4 linked regions of the Arabidopsis thaliana genome follow. The protein of the gene in region 1 interacts with the protein of each later gene in a pairwise test. Each region holds a gene or a part of one and is shown on either strand. Other genes may lie near its edges.

Region 1 (5,944 bases):
TTGCAATATATGTCTTATTTTTTCAGAATCGTATGATCCCATCAGCTTCCAGTATAGTCTTTTGGTTTGAAGATAAGAGAAACCTTTACATTATTATACCATACTGTATTTTATGACTAAGCCAAATATTATCGCCACCAAAAATTGAATTAGACCTTACTAAAATATCAAAAGTTAATTGTTGGTCTGTTACTCTGTGCGGGCGGATATAACTCAACCACCTACAATTATTTGCCCTACAAAAACCTTGTTCCTCACGATATCGTCGCTCCATCTTTCTTGGAATGCTGGGCATATGTGGTGGTACCCTCCTTGGAATGGTGGGCATATGTGGAACCCTCCTATGAATGTTGGAGATATGTGGGACTCTCCTATGAATGTGGGGCATCAACACATTGTTGCAACACCAAGTGAATGTCATAGGAAAGACGAGGAGACGGTTGAAGCCGAAGTTGAGGCTCCCCTTGATTCTTATCCGGAGAATGCTACTACCATGGCGAGAAAGCAACCAAAGGCAAGTTAAATATCTGAAAATGTTGAGAATTCTGATGATAACTAAAGCATTGAAACGAATATTGGGTTAACTTAATAATACTTATGCTTATTTTCAAGTCTCGTTTTGTTTTAATTGACTACACTATACTTCTTAGATCCGTTATGTATATATAATTTGACCTCTTGAACCAGAATGATCCAGCCAATGATGGAGATGAACAATAAGAAGCCAATGATCATGTTCTTGAGATAGTTCCACTGTGAATTCCTTTGACTCATCTCCTCTAAAACAATCCAGTTATGATGCTTAGTTGGAGCTTTCTTCTTCAGCCATTTTCCATTCCCACCCGTTTTTCTATAGACATATCACCTGCAACCCCAAGTCCATCATAATCCACAGTTGAAGATGTATTGTTTGAGATTTTGTATCGAAGTCATGTTACGCAGTGACATTGTTAACACCTTTTCATTTCCTTGCAAATGCAACTTTGGTTGCTAAATGAATCTTTGAGCCAACACCCTTTACTCATATTTGGGTCTCATGTAAAATCCCTTTCTTATACAAGACTATATATCACTTTATTTATATAAACTACACCACAAAACGATGCACTAATTATTATTACATATACTTTTTTCCAATTCATATATATGATTTTCTGCATTTTTCTTCTCTCTTCTTTCCCCCTTTTTCTCTTCTTTACATACTAATAAAATATAACTTCAAACTTTTCCGGAGCGAGAAAACAGAGCAAAGAAAAAAAAACAAAAAAAAACACACATTCTAAGAAATACAAATTTTGAGCAAGAATCCGATTTGACCTCTTAACCAACAAGAATGATCCAACTAATGACGGAGATGAACAACAAGACACCAATGATCATGTTCTTGAGATAGTTCCACTGTGCATTCTCCAAAACAATCCAGCTCTGCTTCACCGTGTTGGTGGATGGAGGTATCTTGATCGAGTCTTCAGCCATTTTCCACTCGCATTCGCTTTTCTGCGAACTTATCACCTGAAAGCAGACCCATAGCTCATAATTTAGAGGTCATTTGACTAAATCTTTTTGATGAAATGTTGATTCAGATTTCGTATCAAAGTCATGTTTCTCAGTGAGAGTGTTAAACCTTTTCTTTGCTCTGCTGCTTTGGTTGCTCTTGTGCCTTATAATTGTGCAAAGGCTCAATAATGTTCAATGATGGAATATCATCTATACGAGTATGGCCCGGTTCATCTGAACTACCAACACTATCAGTGGAGCTCGAAGTGTCTTCGAAAATCTGTTAAAAGCCAAAATTCAGCGTGTGAGATATAGAAGCGATATAGGTTGTGATTATATATGAGTAAAAAAAGCTTACCATTGATCCAGTTTCAGTATCACTGCTATCATCAGGCAAAACCCCAGACACAGGTTTTTTGGGCCGGTGATCACTGTAATGCTGTTGCATAGATGTCCTTTCATCTACCAAAAACTCAAAATTTTCTTCAATCACATGCTTCCAAATCATCTCCGACTCATTTTCATAAGGTGCCAAGTAAGGAACTTGCTGTTGCAGGTCGATATAGTCACTCAGCCACTGACCGCCGTGATTTGCAAAATCATACTCAAGGAGAGGGTTGAATGATCCTTGAAGTGGTTGCTGCTGCATAATGTTAGAGTTTTCATTAAACTGCTGGCCATGATTTGCTGAATCATACTCAGAGTAAGTGTTGTAAGATCCTGAATTTCGTTGACGTGATTGGTTGACCTGAAACGAATCAACAGTTTAGGAAAACATCAAATCAGTAGACACAAGCTCTTTTTTGATCTGCCTACTCAAAGCTAAGTGTATATGGAGAAAGACTCACCACAGAACCTGCACTACTAGTCATATTGGGGACAAAAGCGGGAGTGGGATCTATTGCATAAGCAGATAGAATGTCCGCATCATCACCCTTGTACTCAAGTCTGCAGATGACATATGTCCTCTGTAAAATTTCCGGAGGTAAGCACATAAGTTCATCAGTATAAAACATTGGTGAGAGTAAGCTAAGCCTAAAATAGCTGCTGAACCTAAATAGAGTTACATTACATAGTTTCTAATTTGCATAACTCAAATTCTAACTATGAATCAGCAGAAACCACATATATATATATCCACATATATATATATATATATATATGAATAGAAGAAAACCTGATGTTCTGGTAAGAGGTCGTAGTGGAACTCGTGGATAACCCAATCAGATTTGGTTTTGTCAGGGTATCTTCCATCGAGGAACACCAAAACCCTTTTATGACCAATCTTACCACGAAAGCCCTCACTACAAAATCCCCACTGGTCCTTGACCTCAACAGATTCTCCGGTAAGCTTCCATTTACCAGAAACCGTTGTCCTGCTCTGTCGATTCCCTTTGTTGTTTTCTCTACGAGAGAAGAAGTACCACATAGCATCTCTCGATTTGTACTTTGACTGGACTGTTCAAAACAAAAAAAAACCCTAAAATCAAAAACCTAAATCGATTACTTGCAAATGAAATTCAGAAAATTCGGAACTTACAGCGCAAGTTCCAAGGATCGTAGCTACAGATGTTGACCTCGCTGATGGCTACTTCAACGTCGCGGCTAGTGTTTCCTTCGATTTTGTTACGGAGATAGTGACCAACGAGCTCCTCGTCGTTCGGACGGAACCCAAACCCAACTTGATCCTCCATTTTCACTAAACCGTCCGATTTCAATGGTTTCCGGGTAAAGAGCTTCGCCGTCGATCTCTCTCGCTCTCTGTAATCTGTATTTCTCCGATTATGTATTTGTTTTCTCTGGTTTGGTATATCTAATAATTTGGAGGGAGGAAGACAGTGAAGTCAGCGTTTAAATAAGACAATTTATTCCTTTTATTTTTATTTTCTTAATTAAATTAATATGGATCTCCGGTTTAATTGGTATGGTTTTACCGGTCCTAACAATTTTAAAGATTATTAAAACAATTGATGGTATGAAATTTCATGTAGTAAACCGAGTAGTATTAACTATTAAGATTTATTAGTCTTAATCATATTATTTTTTACTTATGATGGTTTAGAATTTTAATCAATGTAAGTAAACAGAGTTCAGATTTAAACCAATTTAACAATTAAAAAAGATTTAATAATAAATTTTATAAAATCGGTTTGGGTGAACCGTGGATTGAATATCATCCTCTGTAGAAATTTGTATTCCCCTTTTAGTATTATAATAGAAGAACATATAAAATTTAAATAAATATAAATTAAGCCTTATAAAGGAAGGCTGGGAAGCTGCTGGGCGGTAATAATGGGTCCCTCCCAAAGCAAAACAAAGGAGAGCAACTCGAATCTGTCTTCTAGATTATGTGTGTGAACACGCCAAATATTTTCATCTCATTCGTTTTTTAACATTAATAAGAGTGTGCTTATTTTTAATCTTGAATCCTATCGATATGTTGTTAAATCCATCTAGAAGGTTGACTTTTTGAATCGCTGGCTAATTGTTAGCTTTTAATTTTGACCATGTTGTTTTGCTTGTCGCAAATGGTTCGTGGGGTTGCATTTTATCATGGAACAATGTATGTGTCTTACGAACTCATAACGATTGAGCCGTTTTCCAAACCGAACAAAATAATAACGTAACATCTTTAAAAGCATCCACGCCAGTAGATAACATACACATAGTAGGAAGTAGGTGATTAGAAAACTCTAATATCCCTAGAAAATTAGTACTAGTGTGGGATGCATGCAATTATCTAGTGGCTCTCATTAGTCACTAACGTGTGGTAGGTTCAAGTCTTCCTAAGTGAAGTTTTAATATTGGCAGAAATAGCAATATCTTTTAACAAACAAATAAAACCAGCATTATATCTCTGCCTACCTTTTCTTTCTACTTTTTTCTTTTGTCTTTTGGGGGTTTAGATAATAGATTGTTTCTACTTTTTGGATTTATCATGGTCGTTGGTATGCTTGTGAGTTGTGACTAGAAACGTTATGACATGCCTTCATAACAAGCCAAAATTTAAGGTAACGAAAGCGATATGTTGATGTATGGATTTCTTATTTTTCGCCACAACTAAAAAACATGGCTTTGGTGAAGAGAGGAAAAAATAATATAGGTTTAAAGATAGGATATATAGCTGTAGATATAGCTAAGATGATGAAAAAGGAACGACATTCTAAAAACAAAATCTACAAGGAGATTTGATTTCGTATCTCCAAATGACTTAAACAACATTCATGACCAAAATTTTCTTTTACTTTTGAATTTATGCGTATTATAAATTTAGAAGATAGCTCTTACCAAAACATAAAAGAGAACAAGTGGTTTGAAATGTTGACCAATATATGGGACTTTCATTGCAAGAAAGATGATAGTGAAAAAAATTAAAATAAAAATATAATAGGAGTCAAACATAATGAGGGGAATAATACTTTTGTTGTCGCTGGTTTGATATCACATGAAACATTTTACTATGAATACATGGTTAATATTTTTTATGCTGAGTAAATAAATATAAGTATCGAAATAGCATATATGTATATGGGGTTTTTGGAAGATTTTAGTGTCCAGACACTGAATTATTCTTTTAACAAAGTGAGTGACCAAAACTTAGAATTAGATTAAAACCCTGTAAAATATTGTTTTAAAAACTGTCTTTGATCCCTTCTTGTCATTGTTGGCATTCTCGTACCTATTTCCAAATTCATTCATGCATTTGGACAAATGATGATGTATGATATGGTCCATATCATATGGAGATAGATGTGGATGGAAGAACACATTATAAAAACAAAATCTTAAAGGAGATTTGATTTCGTATCTCCAAATGACGGAACCTTGGCCACATTCAGGACCAAAACTTCATTCACATCTTCCATATACAGTAATTAGAAGATTACCCAAACAAAAGTAAGAACATGACACGTGCTTTCACATGTTGACCAATTGGGGACTTCCCTTGTAAGAAAAGATTTTACTCATATACAATGAGAAGTCAAACTTCATTCACATCTTCCATAACATAACGACACTGACTCTTTACCTAATTTTTCTATGATCATTGAATCAAAGGTTCCTCTAATTCAACATCTCATTTATATAATCTAGATAGATAGAAAAAAAGTAAGTGAGAAGAAATCTCGGGATCTTTGGTGTTTCTCTGACCATTTTATAAGAATGTATTACTTATAAATTTATGAAAGAAAAATCAAGCAGATGTGATTCATGGAGGAATCACAGAACTATCATTAATAATTACAACTTTTTTCAGTATGTCTCAAAAAGAAAAAGAAAAATAAAGAGAGTAAAAAACTCTTAACCATAAACTTATTTATTTGATTAAATTATATAAAATTGACTTCTCAATTTGGGGGGTGGGGGGGGGGGGGGGAGGTGGGGGGTGTTGCCACTTTCTGCTTCACAAGTTCTTAAGTCATAAGTGGAAAACTTCTAATAATTT
Region 2 (5,540 bases), on another chromosome or scaffold:
CTTGTACAACAGGAGAATTTCTTGGGAACTTGTAGTAGAGAATGGCTCGCTAGAGGTTGTGAACTCCTCAAACGCACTCGCAAAGGTAAGAAAAATTCAAACTTGTGTATTTAAAAGTTTAAATTTTAGTTGTTGAATCTTTTGTCTAATGATGTGTGACTTTTGCAGGTGATCTCCACTGGAAGATAGTATCTGTTTACATCAACAAAATGAATCAGGTAAAGATTCTTTTTCTTATTGTGCCTCGAGTTTCGTTTCACTTTAGGAAATGATCGTTGTTGATCTGATGAAAAAGATTAAAGAGAGCCAAATTATTTGTGAATCAGTGGGAATCTTTAGTTACTTCACATGGATGTTAACTTTGTTATATGAAACACACAAAAAGATGAGAAAAGAGAAATTTCAAACGGCAGGAAAAGAAGAGAAAGTAGAAACAATACTAAAGCTTAAAAATAAAAAGCACTGTTTTGATAATGATGATGATACTGAAATCATGGGATCCACTTTTGTCTTTGCTGCTTAAGCATCTCTTACAGAATCACTAATTTGTTTTGATTTATTGAACTTATAGGTTATGTTGAAGATGAAGAGCAGGCATGTTGGAGGAACCTTCACCAAGAAGAAAAAGAGTAAGTGATTATTTACTCTTTTTACATACTATAAGTATAACACCACTTTAAACCCTGAATAGTTTGGTTGGAGATTTCTCTAATTCCTTCCAAGACATTTCAGATGATTCTTCTAATGGGTTTAAAAACAAAGAATGTTTCTTTAGTTTGATATTGAAAGCTTTACTTTTTGTCACTATCTACTGTCAATGAGTCAATTATATGTGAACCTGGTAAAGAGAATTCAAAACTTTGAGGTGGGTCTGCTTTAGATATGGGGATTTGAGACGAGAAAAGGAAAAAAAATTGAAAAAGCAAAAGTGTATATGTGACTAAAGTAACTATAGGATCAAATCCCTTCAATCTTTTACTTTTTGTCTTGCTTTTGAATGTGAACTTGAAGAAGACTCTTCTATTAATTATTTTACTATCTTTCCAATTTTGTTACAGACATTGTGCTTGATGTGATCAAGAATGTCCCGGCCTGGCCTGGACGACATTTGCTAGAGGGAGGAGATGATCTAAGATACTTCGGTTTGAAGACGGTTATGCGAGGTGATGTTGAATTCGAGGTCAAGAGCCAAAGGGAATATGAAATGTGGACACAAGGTGTCTCAAGGCTTCTTGTTCTTGCTGCTGAGAGGAAGTTTAGGATGTGAATAAACGTTCAATGGCTGCTTGGTTTAAGTGTGAGTTTTTTTTTAACTTATGTGGTCAAATTTCATTAGTAGGGGTTCTTTTAAGGTAATGGTTTTTTGGGTTGGGTATAGGATAAAATGGACCTACCAGTCAAGGTGAGGAAGCATTTGGGTAAACAAAACTTAGTGGGGGTGATCTGTAATATCTATGTTCTTAGTTTTTTTTTGGTTGTTGGTGGTCTTTTTGTATAAAAAAACAAAGTTGAAGTAATAGATATATAGTATGTTTTAATTTTAAAATTGATGGGTCCAATTTCAATATTTTATTGGGAACAACATCAAATATGCTTCTTTTTTGTCCCATTATTGTTGTAATATCTATCCATTGATTGACCAAAGAAGCTGCCTATATTTCTAAACTCACAAGGAGACAAATAAATCATTAAGGATTGTTTGCTTATGTAGAATGTTTTGGACCTTTGGTATTGTTAACAACTTAATCAAGCCATAAACATGTGTTCTTAATATTCGATAAATCTATGTCTGGAATAAGTAGAATACTATAGGAGATTGAGATTCATAACGTTCAGTTGCTTATAATGCCGAGGAGACTGAGGAAGAGATTCATAACGTCGAGGTATAGACGAATCGCTGCAGTGATATATTCGTCGTAGTTGAGTTTCTTGATCAGCTGATTGGTGTCGAAGATGATGTATCCGCAGAACACTATTGAAGCTATTCCGCTGAATATCATCGATGATAGCTTCCCCAGAGGGTGGAATATCTGCATTCATTTCATTGTTTAGCTTTGTGATAATATATCCCAAAACTTTGAATAGATTGAGAGTTACTGAGTTAGTACCTGCAAAAGGGTGAAGACAAGGATAATGAGGAGAGCACCAAAGAGGAATGGTCCAAGGAAGGAGAAATCATGTCCTCTCTTCACTGCCCAGAAGGTGTAGATCGTTAGACCAAAGACCATCACAGCTGTGAGAATTGCAGCCTCCAGAACAATCCTCCCTGTTTTCACAATACTTGGAAATTAGATTCTAACCAAATGGTGTAACTCTAGTTATAGGAAACAGAGTTAATAAGTTGCTTGACAAAAAAGCATGAAAGCATCTCATGCCATGTTCCTCTTTTTCATGATTCACCATGTTAAAGCCAACAAGATACTAAATTTCAACTTTTATGGTTAAGAAAACAGTACTATCTAATCAATATCACACCAACACTAGTGTTGGTTGATTATTTCAAGCAGAGAACAATCCAAGGCAAAATATGACAAATGGTTTGTCTTTTAACAACACCACAAGCCAACCAAGTGTGATATATCTCTGTATCCATACCTTGGGAGAGAGAGCAGCAAATCCCCACAGAGAAGGAAATGGAGAGAGTGAAGATGGACAGGACAATGCAGTTTATCGGATGCTTCTTCTCAAAAGCCAACAGAGGCCACAACACTACAACACACATCAAATCCAGATCACTCAGTGAAACACTCTACAAACTAAGTGGATATATCAAATCGTTAACAACACAGTAGAATTTAAACGATGAATCAACGGAACATTATAGTTTCACAACATCAACGAAGCTAGAGTAGCTAAAGTGAACACTATATCGATCAAGTCGCAAGCTTTTTTAGTGAACCGCACAAATAAAGCAACTCAAAACCCTAAGCGACGATGATGGAACCTAGAAATGAATGGATAAACAAAAGTATGTGAAAGGAGACGTAACGGAGGAGAGGAAGGAGGAGGATGACGAAAAAGACGGCAAGGCCACGGTGAGTCTCGGTGATGAACTCGGGGATCGGACGGACGAAGTAAACAACGGCGGAGACTCCGACGGTGACAAGCAACTGAAGAGACAAAATGCTGTAAAGTTTTCTTATGAAAGCCCAACGAAGCTCCGAGCTCTCTTTCATTCCCGGATACAGCTCGTTACCACCACCAGTTTCAATGTCAGATTTCGCCATTTTTGTTGTTGAAATCGCAAAAAAAAACAAAGCTCTGAAGAAGAAGAAGAGGTTTTTGATTGTCTGAGGAAACTACGGAAGAAAGAAAGTGACGGGGAAACTAAAGGGTAATGCTGGTGTTACTGTTCCGTCACTGTGGTTACTCTAACTACCCAATTATGTTTCGACACGTGGAATTCAGTGGACGGCGTTTTTCCGCGGGTGTGTGAGTGTGACACTGACTGTGTAACCAAACATTGCCGGGAAAGTATCGGTTTTTCATTTTTGTTGAATCAAGAGGTGAGTTACGGGTTAATTTACAGTCACTGCACCGTCATATTGGATCTCGAGACGTACCAATGATCTTAAGACACGTGTTCTATCTGGGGCTGCTTTATAACTGTGGTGTTAACGGGTACGTAATTTTTGTCTTATTTATTTGTCGTAACTCAAAATATATGCAAATGGAAAGGAGACTATTACTATTCTTGTACTATTTATAGAAATAAATTTGTAAATTGAAATGCTATATATTTAAAATAGCGGATATACAGTAATTATGATATCTATGACAATTATTTCTTTAATTTTCCTTTTCTAAAACCAAAAAAAAGAGAGGATAAAATGTATATCAAATGACGATCTAGTGAGTTGATTAAGTGTTATTAATGTATGATTTTAAGAGTTTTAGAAAGCTCACTGTATAATCGAAAATTTACTTTAAACGAGAGACCTACAGTGAAACAGTTCATAATCTGATAGAGTTTGTTCTTTAGATAACGCGTTAGAATCATTTATCAAAAACGTTAACCAATCTTATGGGTTTTGGTTATTAATTACTAAACTAAGGCTTTGTTTAATCTCAAAAGGTTTGGTTTTATAAATAACTTGTACATGTGGATCAAGACAAGTACTTAACCCAAAAGTCAAGAGAGAAGAGTTTGTAGGATATCGAAATGGTGTAAAATGTTTTGGAATCTGACTGATAAAAGACCAAAAACTGTGTCATTTTCATGATAGCATATTTAAAGAAGATACATTGTATAAAGATTAACTAAGATTAATATAGGAAGTGGACTTATTTGAGAAAACAGATAAACAAATAATCAGTTGTGGACCTGAAAATAAAAATTACATCAACATACTAAGATATAGCTAAGGCTATGAATTTATTAAACTACTATTTAGGTTTTGAAAAATAAAAATTATCTATATGGGTTACCATGACCCAAGATGGAGGCCTGGAGGGTATTCCAAGCCAACTAAGATATTTAAATATATGAAGAAATTCCACTCTAAGGAACATGTTTACTACAAGAAAACATGCATTTTGGGATTATATTTTATGAATTTTTTTTGTCGCAAATATTTGTAATGGTTTTATGATTATTTTGCAACTAATAAATGACTACACACAAAGTAATGACAAAACCATCACAAAATTATGACAAAAAATGTAGTCGATAAACCGTCTCATATTCCTTAATATTATAAGACTACTAGTAGATTATATCATTGTGGTCGCAATTAAGACGAATCAAAGACACCGTTTCCAGTCAGAAGTTTTATTCACAACGTAGTCCCAAATTTGCAACGTGTCTGTCACTTCAAGTGTTTGAGCCATATCAAGTTTTTACTATTTAAACTGAGAAATCTTGTTTAGAATTCTAACATGAGTAAATGTAGAATCATATATACATCATTTTACTCTTAAGCTTTAAAATTCATATGGCTAATTTATCTCATAGAAATAGAGCGTAACATAACAATTACGCTTTGTGAACTGAGCGACTATGTGTAAGTTTAACCAACCAACCAACCGTCTCAAACAACAATAGAACGGGATGACCGAATCTATAATATTGGTGCCAATTGAAGTTCATTAGAAACCATGGGAGACTCCAACGTATATATTCAAACAATGTGAGAATAGTTACTTACAAAGGAACTATGAGCTTTATACATTTGATTGGATGAAGAAATTGACAAAATAATAAAAGCGGGGTAGAGGAGAATTAATTGGAGTTTTCCAAGTGTAGGAAGATGTACGTCCTTATAGCTTGGAGACTAATCGGATGTCTGTCTCATCTTCTCGTGCATCCTCTTTAGTTAGTTTCCTCAATCGTTTCTTCTAGTGCCTCCACTGTCATGACAAGAACATTAATACTACAACAACCCACTTTTATTGTTCTTAATTAACAATTAATGTTCAAACTGATCCTTTGGAACTTCTCAAAAGCAAAGAGTGGCCACAACACCACAAACACCATTAAATATATAAGCATTCAAGCGATGAATCAACAGAACAGTTAAATTCGTTGTACAAGATCAACA
Region 3 (6,007 bases), on another chromosome or scaffold:
AAAAAAAAATCACATTTTTATTTCCGCCGGAACAAAAAGCGATGGTTCAGTGTAGCAACAATCTCCTCGGAATCCTCAATTTCTTCACATTCCTCCTCTCAATCCCAATTCTCTCCGCCGGGATCTGGCTCGGCAAAAATGCAGCAACCGAATGCGAACGTTTCCTCGACAAACCAATGGTCGTACTCGGAATCTTCCTCATGTTCGTCTCAATCGCCGGACTCGTCGGTGCTTGTTGCCGTGTCTCTTGCCTCCTCTGGCTTTACCTCTTCGCTATGTTCCTCCTCATTCTCCTCGGCTTCTGTTTCACAATCTTCGCTTTCGCAGTCACAAACCGCGGCGCCGGTGAGGTTATATCGGATCGAGGGTATAAAGAGTATCATGTCGCCGATTACTCTAATTGGTTGCAGAAACGTGTCAACAATGCTAAGAATTGGGAACGGATCAGGAGTTGTTTGATGTACTCTGACGTTTGCTCCACTTATCGTACTCGTTATGCCAGCATTAACGTTGAAGATTTCTACAAATCTAATCTTAATGCTCTTCAGGTTCACAATTTTGATCTGATTTAAAAAAAATTTCATCTGTGATTTAGAATTAGAGATCGGGATTTTAAAAGTGAATCTAGCTTTTTGATGAGATTCATGGATTCAACTTTGCTTTTTCCTCAAAAAGTGATTTTGTTTTATGAACAAAAAGCTTACTTTTTCTCCCATGGAAACAAACACACAAAGCCTTTTAGAAAGATTTAGTCTTTAGAAATAATAGTGATGTTTTTTACTAACTACTTTTTGTTTGCTTTACTTGTGTAGTCTGGTTGTTGTAAGCCGTCCAATGACTGTAACTTCACCTATGTGAACCCGACTACTTGGACAAAGACTCCTGGTCCATACAAAAACGAGGACTGTAATGTGTGGGACAACAAACCAGGAACTCTCTGCTACGACTGTGAAGCCTGCAAGGCTGGTCTGCTTGACAACATCAAGAACTCATGGAAAAAGGTGGCTAAGGTCAACATTGTCTTCCTCATATTCCTCATTATCGTCTACTCTGTTGGTTGTTGTGCGTTCAGGAACAACAGGAAACGCAGTTGGTAATAGATTCTAATGCGTTGAAACCAAGACTAAGGCCAGAGAAGATATCTGAAGTGTCATCATCTTACTGTCAAGTAAGTTAAAGCAGCATTTAAGACAACTCGTTGATCGCTTGTCTTGTGTGTGGGGGATTGCAATTTCAATGTATTTTCTCTCTTAAATTTGCAACATAATGAGTTACAAAAGCACTTGCTTGTGCTTCTATTTCGACTCTTTTGTGTGTTGAGTAGCTTATACATCTGTTGAGACGAGTGAGATTTGTAAAAGAAGTTCCATTTCACTTTGCGTTATTATCATTTTCATATTCTTTAAGTGTCCATTGTCAAAAATTTCCACTTACACCATGTAGAACTGACTTCAATAAAACTCACATGAGAAGAGGTTCTAATAGCTCCGAACTACGAAAGGCCTTATCACCAATCATAATGGAAACAATGTCAGATTGAGAGGAAGTGTTGTGTTCATTTTCCAATTTCAGGTCTGTTGATTCTTCTTGATAGTCTTCAGATTTGCCCCAGAGAACAATGTAGAGACCAAGGATGATAGCCAAAGCGCCTAACAAGCTGCAGAAACGAGCAAAACAGATTTAAAAATGTGAATTGAGCTACAGAACGAAGAGAGGATAGTAAGAAAATGGCATACCTCCCGAGGTAAGTCTGTTCTTTTAGATACAGAGCGCCGAAGAAAGTGACGATGACTGCAGAAAGAGGGTTGAAGAGGGCAGAGAAAACAGGTCCTTTCTGTGATACGATCCAAGCTTGTAGAAAGAAAGATATCGCCAACTGGAATCCAGAGTATATGCAGCAAGAGAGCTTCAAGAAGGAATCAAGCTTCCAGGGCGGTAAATGAGTGTTGCCTAAGGCGAGAGCCACGAGGAAAGAAGCTATGGTAGCGATGAAACATGTGCAGGCAGAAGTGTACAAGTGGTCAGGACAGTGAGAGGCAATAGGAACCTGAAGGATCAACCAAAGAGACCAAGCAAATGTGCTAATAAGAAGGAAGAAGCAGCCGAGTAACCAAGCTGTGTTGTCTTGGTTGAGCAAGGCATTGAGCAATTTTGGACCTCTGAGAAAAGTCATTGCCATGGCTCCTCCCACACAGACACCAGTTCCTATTACTTTTGCAACACTTTTCATACTTCTCCTCTTTATACTCTCGAACCTGAAACAAACATCCAATATCAATAATAAATAACCAATCCATCAATATAGAATCTTAGAACATATATGTTGATGATACATACCCAACAATGATGGAGATAATGAAGGTGACGGCAGGAATAAGATTAGTCATGGCACAAGCCATGGATGAAGAAGACAAGTCAATCCCTTTGAAATAAGCGTTCTGATTAACAGTCACACCAATAACAGCCGTCAAAGCCACCCACCAAAAGCCTCTTACTCCCAGAGAAGGTTTGTTTTCTTTCCTCCTAATTACCATTCACATGGAAATGAGTCAGAATTCATGTGATAAATAATATATAGATTGGTTCAAAAACACTGAACTTACCAAGCGGAAATGAAAGAGATGGGGCAGATGAAGAGAGTGGCGATGGCTTGACGGTAAACAACGAAGACGGTGGGATTGAGACCTTCCATGAAAGCAGCTTTCGTGAAGAGTGCAACTCCGGCGGACGTAAACTGCAACATCACTAACGCTAGCACCGCCTTGTATTTCGATATCTCCATCTCTCTCTCTCTCTCTTAAGATCTACAATCACTAAAAAATGAATCTCTCAATATACACGTCTCTTGTAATTATATATCGTATATGTGAATACTGAATACAAATAATGTGTCGTGCGTGTGTGTGTGTGTGTATGTCAATCATGTGATAGGAAGGATTAACAAACCTGTTAGCCGCGTACGTTAGTGACATAATATTGAACTATACATTTATTAAGTCTATAGAATATGTAAGCTTCTATATATAGGTGGTTCGTGGAAGTCTTGGAATAATAGATTACCTTAACTAAAACTCGTGGGAATGATAAGAGCTTTTTATTTTGTTGACATTTCTTGCAAATGGATCTTAGACCAGCGAAAACTGGTTTCAGATATTAGCGTTGAAAGCAACAACAAAAAATATAACATGAGTGATTACGGTTTTGAGTTTCCGCATCACAAAGTAAGCAAGAAGTTGTAGTTATATTTAAAATCTAGCAAAGATATGCTCGATGCAACCATGTTCTTGGAAAGCCGAAGTTGGCCTGTAGCCCACTATTACAGTACTATATCACATGCGCACACATATATAGTAGATAATCCGACATTTATTCAATAATGTCTTGTGATTTTTTTCTATTCATTGTTTAATACGTAAGGAAAGATTGAATTAATTATTGTTCAAAGAAATCTCTTACAAAATAAAAAAGAAAAAAAGAAAAATTAAAGAAGAAAATTATACGTATAGCATTTTAAGATTTGACTACCAATTATTGTTTAGTTAATTCCTTTTGATTTCACTGTATGATATTTCATTCTCTTGACAATCACGATTGAATACGTATCAACAAAATAAAACATTTTTCAAGAAACTATGCAACCATAAAAATCGCCATTTAGGTCCTATGTGATGCGTTGTATTACGAATATTATAACGTATATTCTACATTTAAGTACAGGTGTATTGCAAGGTGGTCACAGACATCAGAATTATGAAAATAGATAAAAGATCATATGCGTGAACATGTTATAGTTAGTCACTCTAGTTGTCTTCTTGTGTATCCCTCCCACCAATCGTAAGTAGGTTTCTGTCCATTATTGCTGAAATGATTTCTATTGGTATTTGTTGACCAATAAGAATTGGATGCACGAGAAAGAAGAGATATGAATCATAGGATAATGACAAAGATCAATGACTCATGACACACATCATCATCATCCTCATTCTAATCCTTCCACACTTTCTAACTATTACTTTATATGAGATAATCTTATTTCTTTTACTAAGACATCATCATGCATGAACTAGCTCTACTTGCTTCTCTTAACGAGGGTGTAGATTACTATTATTAATTTTAATTGATTTTTATTAGGTAACAAAATACAACTCCAAATTCTTTTCTATATCAACCAAAAAGAATCGAGATACATTGATTACGTACATTCAAATGATGATGATAAAACATGTATTGTTGCGATAAGAACAATGTTATTTTTTGTCGTTGAAAGAAAAGATGATGAGTGATGATGACACATGTTGATTTTCTTTTGGTGGGAAATAAAACGTTAAAAGTTTGTTACGTATCTTTTGTTTATGAGTTATGACATTTAGTTGGTATTTGTGTGGCTGCCATTTCTCTCGGATAAAAATTGAAAGAAGCGTAAACAAACAGAAAACTATGGGCTCATATTGGGCCCAAATAATAGAAAAGCCCAAACATGCGAGCTTTGAAGCTTAGCAAGAAGCTGAGGATGTGATTAGTCCGCGAAAAAATGGCGTTTCTCTGTTCGTCTCTCCCAAGTTCATCCTCTATCGCCATTTTCGGCGACCCAAACACAGATGGATCATCACGCTCGTATCTTTCGATTCCTTCATTGAAGTTACGGTTCCGTCCCGTCGCTGCTTCCTCACACATTTGTGCTCCAGCGATCGACAAGTCGACTTTCGTCATATCCGAATCGGTGTCAGAAGATGAGCTTTGGGCTGCAGCTTGTCTCCGCGTACGAACCTTCAACGAACTCAATCCTTCTGCTTACAATATCCAAGTCAGTTTCTTACTTAATCGGTGAATTAGAAGATGATTTTTAGCTATTTGTTGTATCATGAAGTCAACTCCGTTGACTATGAATTGGTAGATGAAATGATAATTGATGTTGGAGCTGTGTTTATAGTTTTGAAGAACTTCGTTGTTGTTGTGTGATTAGTTAGTGAGTGTTTTGTTTGGTTTATGGTTTGTTTCTTATGCTGATGTTACAGTTTGCTGTTCAAGTTTCATTAGGATCATAGAAGATACTTGGCAGAGCGTGAATTCGAGGCGCTTAAGGAGAGAACTTCAGGGAAGAGGGAAGGGTTTACGCGGGTCGCTTGCATAAATGCTACCCTTCCATTGTCGCAATTATCAAGCTCTTTTGAGGATTTATGCTCTGCATGTAAGGTCTGTGTACTCAATTTGGTCATCCTGTATTTACCTGTTCAAGAGGGTTTGTTGCATTTAAGTTATGGTGCTCTACATTTGGAATTGTCATCATGTCATTGTTACTTCCTGGTCTAGAAAAAACTGTGATATGGATTTGTGCTATGGTTCATCTGTTTCTCAGTTCTCTGATGGCATAGAAGACAGAGTTGTGGTGGGAAGCCTTGATCTTAACCAATGTCGTTGGCTTCCTGATGAAATTGCTGGAACAAAACCAGAGGTATTTGTCTATTTGATGTTGCCAACAATGCTGAACTTAAAATCTGAAATTGGACAAATTGAGTAGCCTAAGAGTATTTTGTGTTATAGGGGATTGGTGTGGATTTTGCTAGAGCATACTTGAGCAACGTCTGTGTTGCAAAAGAGCTGCATCGTAATGGAGTTGGTTACAAACTTATTGACAAGTCTAAGAGAGTTGCTGGAGAATGGGGTAAGAACATTTAAATCAAACTCCTTAGACTTGTGCAATTGAAGTTTTTAAAAAGAGTTGTGAATATGGTTCAGGCATAACGGATATGTACGTGCATGTGACGGTAGACAATGAAGCAGCGAAGAGTCTATACATGAAAAGTGGGTTTGAGCAAGAGACCGCTGAGCCAGCGTGGCAAGCTCGATACCTCAATAGGCCACAACGGCTCCTCCTCTGGCTCGCCCTTCCTACCTCCCCAATCATGTCCATGTAATTGTAAATTTTCCAATATATCCAATATGTCAACCTGTTCTTGGCAATCAATAAAAGCTTTATAACTCTCCACAAAATTAATTCATTAGCTTA
Region 4 (5,120 bases), on another chromosome or scaffold:
TTTGACACAACAATATCAGAACCAGATCCCGTTTTCACCGCAAGGCCATGGATTGACCTACCGTTGTCAATATCCCCTGAAACAGTAAATGCTGATAAGACGCTTGTAATGGTATGCCTGCTCACACCTACACCTTCTTCACGCATTTTACTAAAGACTAATAAAGCATCCTCAAATCTAAAAATCTGTGAATACCCATTAACTAAAGCATTCCAAAGCACACTGTCATCTCTATCAGGCAATTCATCGAACACCTTCTGAGCATCCTCCACTGACATGAACTTCGAGTAAGAAGTAACTAAGCCACTCCCCACATAACAATCGGAATCAAACCCAAGTTTAAACGCCAATCCATGAACCTTCTTAACATCAGAAAGCTCCATAGCATCGCTTCCTTTTAGCAAACTAGGAAATGTATACTTATCAGGTAAAATCCCATTAGCTCTCATTTCTCTGTACGTCTCCATCGCATCCAAAGGAGACCCATTTACCACAAACCCAGAAATCAAAGCGTTGTAACCAAATACATCGCGTTCGGATCCACCAAAGACCAACACCGCACGCCGCATGAGACCACACTTAGCGTACATGTTAACGAGGCTCGTGCCGGCGCGTGGCGAATCATCCAGAAACCCTTTTCTAACCATGAAACCGTGGATCTGTTGGCCGGAAACGTAATCTTTGCGCTGTGCACAGCGTTGCAATGTGGCGATACATGTAGCAACATTGTGGTGCTCGTATCTCTTCGGGTTTTCTTCGATTTGCCCAGAAACAGTCGAATATAAAGATGCTAAAGCAGAAGAAGGCTTTATAGCTGCGAATAAATCTGGGTTCCGTGGGAGAAATCTCAAAATTCCGGCAGAACAATTTTGAATCTCGATCCGTAGAAACGAGACGGTCATTGTTTTAGTTCCACCACGATTATATTTGAAATTTACGTGAGTGTGAGTGAGACTTGCATAAGAAAATAAAATCTTTAGTTGGGAAAAAATTCAATAATATAAATGGGCTTGAGAAGGAAGCGAGGGATAGGCCTTTTTCTAAAATAGGCCCATTTAAGCTATTAACAATCTTCAAAAGTACCACAGCGCTTAGGTAAAGAAAGCAGCTGAGTTTATATATGGTTAGAGACGAAGTAGTGATTGTCCCTTCGGGGACATCCGATAAAATTGGAACGATACAGAGAAGATTAGCATGGCCCCTGCGCAAGGATGACACGCATAAATCGAGAAATGGTCCAAATTTTTTTTGGCAAAAATTTTCAGATTTTTTCTTCATCTGTAGATTTCTGGGTTTTTTTTTCCGTTTCGTGAATCATAAGTGAAGTTTTGGATGCAAATCTGCGCGAAAAAAGTTGGACCTGCAATGAGCTTATTTAGATAGCTAAGACAAAGTGATTGGTCCGTTGTTTCAGTTCTGATTGTCAGAGAGTTTGTTTCGAGACGGCGACACCAATGCGTTTTGTTAACCAGATTTCGGGTAAGAAATGTATCGAGAGTTTGTTTCGAGACGGCTACATCATTTTCTTATGAAGGGTGAAATTAGATAGACCAAAGATTGAAACACAACATTTCTTTCACAAAAATATAATAAACTTGATAGCATTTAGGATCAGCTACTCTCACTAATCAGATAAATAAGAAGAACAAACGTTTTAAAACAATCAAATACATGAGTGGAAGCTTCAGAGTTGCAAGCAAAAAAAGCATGGTCTTCAGGTCATGGCCCTTGAGCTTTCTCCTACTTTTTATCTTCTTCTCTGGCAACAATCTTGTACTTTCCACTTTCCTGTTGCTGACAAAAAAAAGTTACCATCAAAAATTGAGCCCTATACAAAACATCCACAACTACACAGATCAGAAGAAAGTTGGATACAAATCTTACCCTTTCCCAAAGTTTGGTATGCTCATTACAGAAACCAACAACAATACCACCACTCTTCTTCCCTTCACGATACTCAATACAAAGATCTTCCTTTAACCCACAAGTAACATGAAAAGCCAACTTACATCTCATCTCCGAACACTCAATAACACAACCGCGTCTAACCTTACACAAATAACACCTATCTTTCCATCTCTTACTCAATACCTCACTACAACAAATCCCTTCTCTTCCTTCAGGATCCTCAAAGTAAACTTCCGGAACAAACAACGCACAAGTAATATGAGCCCATCTACCATCATTCGTAGGTTTCATCGCCCCGCCTTTAGTTGTACACAAGCAGCAAGAGAAGATCTTTTCTCGGTTCTTCGACGATAAACACTGTCTACAAAACCAATCACCTTCTGGAATAGCCTTAACAAGAGGATTCCCATAGCAAGAAGCATGAACCATCAAATCACAACCATCACAGAACACAATTGGATTCAATGGATCACCATCTGTACTTTGACATACAGCACACATAATCCCATCTTCATCTTCTACTTCTCTATCAGAGAGATCTAAAGCTTTTCCTTTCCCTAGAGGATCTATATTCTCTTTATCATCATCTTCTTCTACCTCTAGACTAGATTCAACATTTAGAGTTGACTTTTTCTCAATTGATTTCTCTTCAACATAAGGCTTATACTCTACATTTAGATCAAAAGGCGAAAAGGGGTTACCACCACCGGAGAGAAGATCGGGATCAATCGCCCAGATCCTTTTCTTCGCCGGAAGACAATGATAGGTGGGATTGGAGTTCTCTGCGTCGTCATCGTCATAATCAACACGAGTCTGCTTCCTCTTCTTTGCCGGCAACTGCAACGACTTCATCTCCGGTTGGTTCGGTAGCTGGTGCTGTTGAGCAGCTTCGAGATCTCTCTGCAACAGTCTTAATCTTTTGAGAGGAGGTAGATCTTGATATTGAGCATCCATGGCTTCTTAGTTTCAGATCTCTGGGTTTGTGTGAATGGAACAGTCGTAGATCTCGGAGAAATTAAAGGCATGAGAAATTGATATTTACCCGCCAATTGACTTCTTTGTGCGCCAAATTTCTGAAATTTGTTCCGATTTTAAAATTTCGTTAATTTTCTTCTTCTTCTGTTTTTGGTTCATCAACTGAAACTAAAATTTTAGAATTTTACCCGCCAATTGTTAAAAAGAGCGAGGGAGGTGGTCTCTTATGGGCCTTTATTCGGTCCATTGAAGATGTTAATGGGCTTATTTAAATTAAAAAAACTGTGGTTTCCAAGTTTCTTACTTAACAACACTTTAATATGTTGGCTTTGTTCACAATCTATCAGAGACTATCAGAGTATACAAAAGGGAGGCTGCTTTAATTTCATGAGAGTCGCTTGAAAAATGGGCGACTTTGACTTTGAATCTTGACTTTTTCATCGATGTCCTTGTCCTTGTGGTGGCGGCTGCTGCTGCTGTTGCTGTTGCGGATCGTAGCCACCAGCCCACGCAGCCTGTGGTCCGTAAGGAGGAGGATAATAGCCAACAACGCCTGTTTGTGCCTGAACCAGCATTGTTATCATATCAGCACATTACTTTACATGTGTATGAATGTATGCACCTAAAACTACAAGAATAGGAGATATATGAAGATAGATGTTGTTCAGTTACATATTCTGTCACAGGTTTCATCGACATCAGCTCACATTGTTGACTTAGATTGGTCTAATAAATCGATTAAGCCAGTTCCGTTTTACATCAGATTGACTTGTTCGAACTTTAGGCTGTACTATTGGCTACTGAAATTCGGTTTAAATTCAAAGTTCAAACAAAGTGTGAAACTGTGTAGAGAGAATTATGGTGCGTTCAGACATATCATCTACTATGCACACGCAATGTAAAAAAATATAAAAAGTCAAAATTTTATAACTTACTGGATTCATGGTATAGTTGGGTTGATAAGGATTCACAGGATACCCAGCCTCAGGATTTCCATATCCACCACCATAAGCAACTCCACCTGATCAAAACCATGTTTTTTGATTAACATTGCTATATGCATTCAACTGTTGATCGACTGTCTATTGCTAGTTATTAGTTTTCCTTTCTACTTGTGCATTTAATAGGCATTGTGGTGACTGCTTATAAAGGTTTACACTTATTCAAGTTTATCATACCAGGATTCCCAACAGGACCATTAGCATAAGCACTCGTTTCTGAGTTAGCAATCTCTGCTCGAAGCTTCTCCAGTTCCCGAGCCATTGCAACTAATTTATGCTCCATAATTTTGCCATGCTCGTAGTTTTCCGCGTACCCTTTCTTCTCATAATCAATAGCCGCTCTACAAAACAGAAATCACAGCTTAACATACACATTATCATCAATATGAACAAAGGCAAATCTTAAAAAAGAGACTGGTCAAAACCTTGCGCGTTGCAGCTCTTGCTTTGTGTTCTCAATTTCTGCAGTTAACGTTGGTATCTGCTGCAAATCTGCTGTAAGTCTAGCTAAATCTTGAGTCATCAGGTGAACCTGACTCGTTAGTTCCTGTCTACCTGAAGTAAACTCTTTGATATCCGCACGGATCTTTTGAATCTCAGCTCGCATAGCATCGACTTCACGCAATTCCATTTCGGATCGCATAGATTTATCATACATCTCCCTCATCATAATCTCTTCCTCAGCTCTCAAGGAATCAATGTAATGCATTATTCTTTGCAATTCATGCTGAGCAACTTCTAACTCCTGTTTAAGCGCAACATGAGTCGCAGCCAGTCTCTGGTTATCAGCGAGTAAGCCCTGAACATCTTGATTCTGAGCAGCGAGACGATCCTCCAGAATCGAAAATTGTGGAGGAAGACCTCTTGCATCTACTCTAAATTGAGGTTCTCTACTATCATCAATCATAGAAGGATGAGGAGGAGGAGGCACTGGTCCTCCTCCTAAGCCTCTAACGAAAGGCGGTTGATGAACCGGAGCTTGTAAACCACTGTAAGATCCACCTTTCATTGATGGAGGAGGAGGTCCACGATTTCTTCCAGACATTATCTTAATGTTCAATACTACGCAGAATCAAATTCTAGTTTCACTTCCTGGAAAATTCGAGTGCCAACAGAGGAAACGAAAAGGTGTACAAACTCAGAATCACGAACTGACCTTCGACGACGAACAACAGAAGTTTTCACAACCGGAGAAAACAAATTAGGGTTCTTAAGATGACGCCTAGTTCACTAAAT

What was found.
Region 2: the proteins of NAC001 (region 1) and AT4G14730 interact in a two-hybrid assay, tested with the Arabidopsis thaliana proteins (one large-scale study listed by BioGRID).
Region 3: the proteins of NAC001 (region 1) and UMAMIT33 interact in a two-hybrid assay, tested with the Arabidopsis thaliana proteins (one large-scale study listed by BioGRID).
Region 4: the proteins of NAC001 (region 1) and AT3G14740 interact in a two-hybrid assay, tested with the Arabidopsis thaliana proteins (one large-scale study listed by BioGRID).

What each region holds. Positions count from the first base shown.
Region 1 is NC_003070.9:1,007-6,950, reverse strand, and holds NAC001 (NAC domain containing protein 1), read right to left. Parts: upstream 3,321-5,944; 5' UTR 3,192-3,320; coding exon 3,038-3,191; intron 2,956-3,037; coding exon 2,675-2,955; intron 2,466-2,674; coding exon 2,346-2,465; intron 2,246-2,345; coding exon 1,856-2,245; intron 1,778-1,855; coding exon 1,625-1,777; intron 1,513-1,624; coding exon 1,321-1,512; 3' UTR 1,052-1,320; downstream 1-1,051. Other genes in the region: ARV1 family protein, read left to right, coding at 1-36.
Region 2 is NC_003075.7:8,446,294-8,451,833, reverse strand, and holds AT4G14730 (Bax inhibitor-1 family protein), read right to left. Parts: upstream 3,469-5,540; 5' UTR 3,228-3,468; coding exon 2,990-3,227; intron 2,710-2,989; coding exon 2,596-2,709; intron 2,267-2,595; coding exon 2,109-2,266; intron 2,031-2,108; coding exon 1,833-2,030; 3' UTR 1,660-1,832; downstream 1-1,659. Other genes in the region: AT4G14740 (auxin canalization protein (DUF828)), read left to right, coding at 1-85, 169-218, 572-629, 1,059-1,267.
Region 3 is NC_003075.7:13,937,656-13,943,662, reverse strand, and holds UMAMIT33 (nodulin MtN21 /EamA-like transporter family protein), read right to left. Parts: upstream 3,318-6,007; 5' UTR 3,061-3,317; exon of another isoform or gene 2,814-3,060; 5' UTR 2,783-2,813; coding exon 2,604-2,782; intron 2,524-2,603; coding exon 2,338-2,523; intron 2,256-2,337; coding exon 1,737-2,255; intron 1,658-1,736; coding exon 1,462-1,657; 3' UTR 1,227-1,461; downstream 1-1,226. Other genes in the region: TET7 (tetraspanin7), read left to right, coding at 42-548, 813-1,097; AT4G28030 (Acyl-CoA N-acyltransferases (NAT) superfamily protein), read left to right, coding at 4,532-4,804, 5,038-5,193, 5,357-5,452, 5,542-5,662, 5,737-5,915.
Region 4 is NC_003074.8:4,950,445-4,955,564, forward strand, and holds AT3G14740 (RING/FYVE/PHD zinc finger superfamily protein), read right to left. Parts: upstream 2,980-5,120; 5' UTR 2,863-2,979; coding exon 1,885-2,862; intron 1,795-1,884; coding exon 1,741-1,794; 3' UTR 1,617-1,740; downstream 1-1,616. Other genes in the region: AT3G14730 (Pentatricopeptide repeat (PPR) superfamily protein), read right to left, coding at 1-902; AT3G14750 (structural maintenance of chromosomes domain protein), read right to left, coding at 3,321-3,446, 3,819-3,904, 4,062-4,225, 4,310-4,929.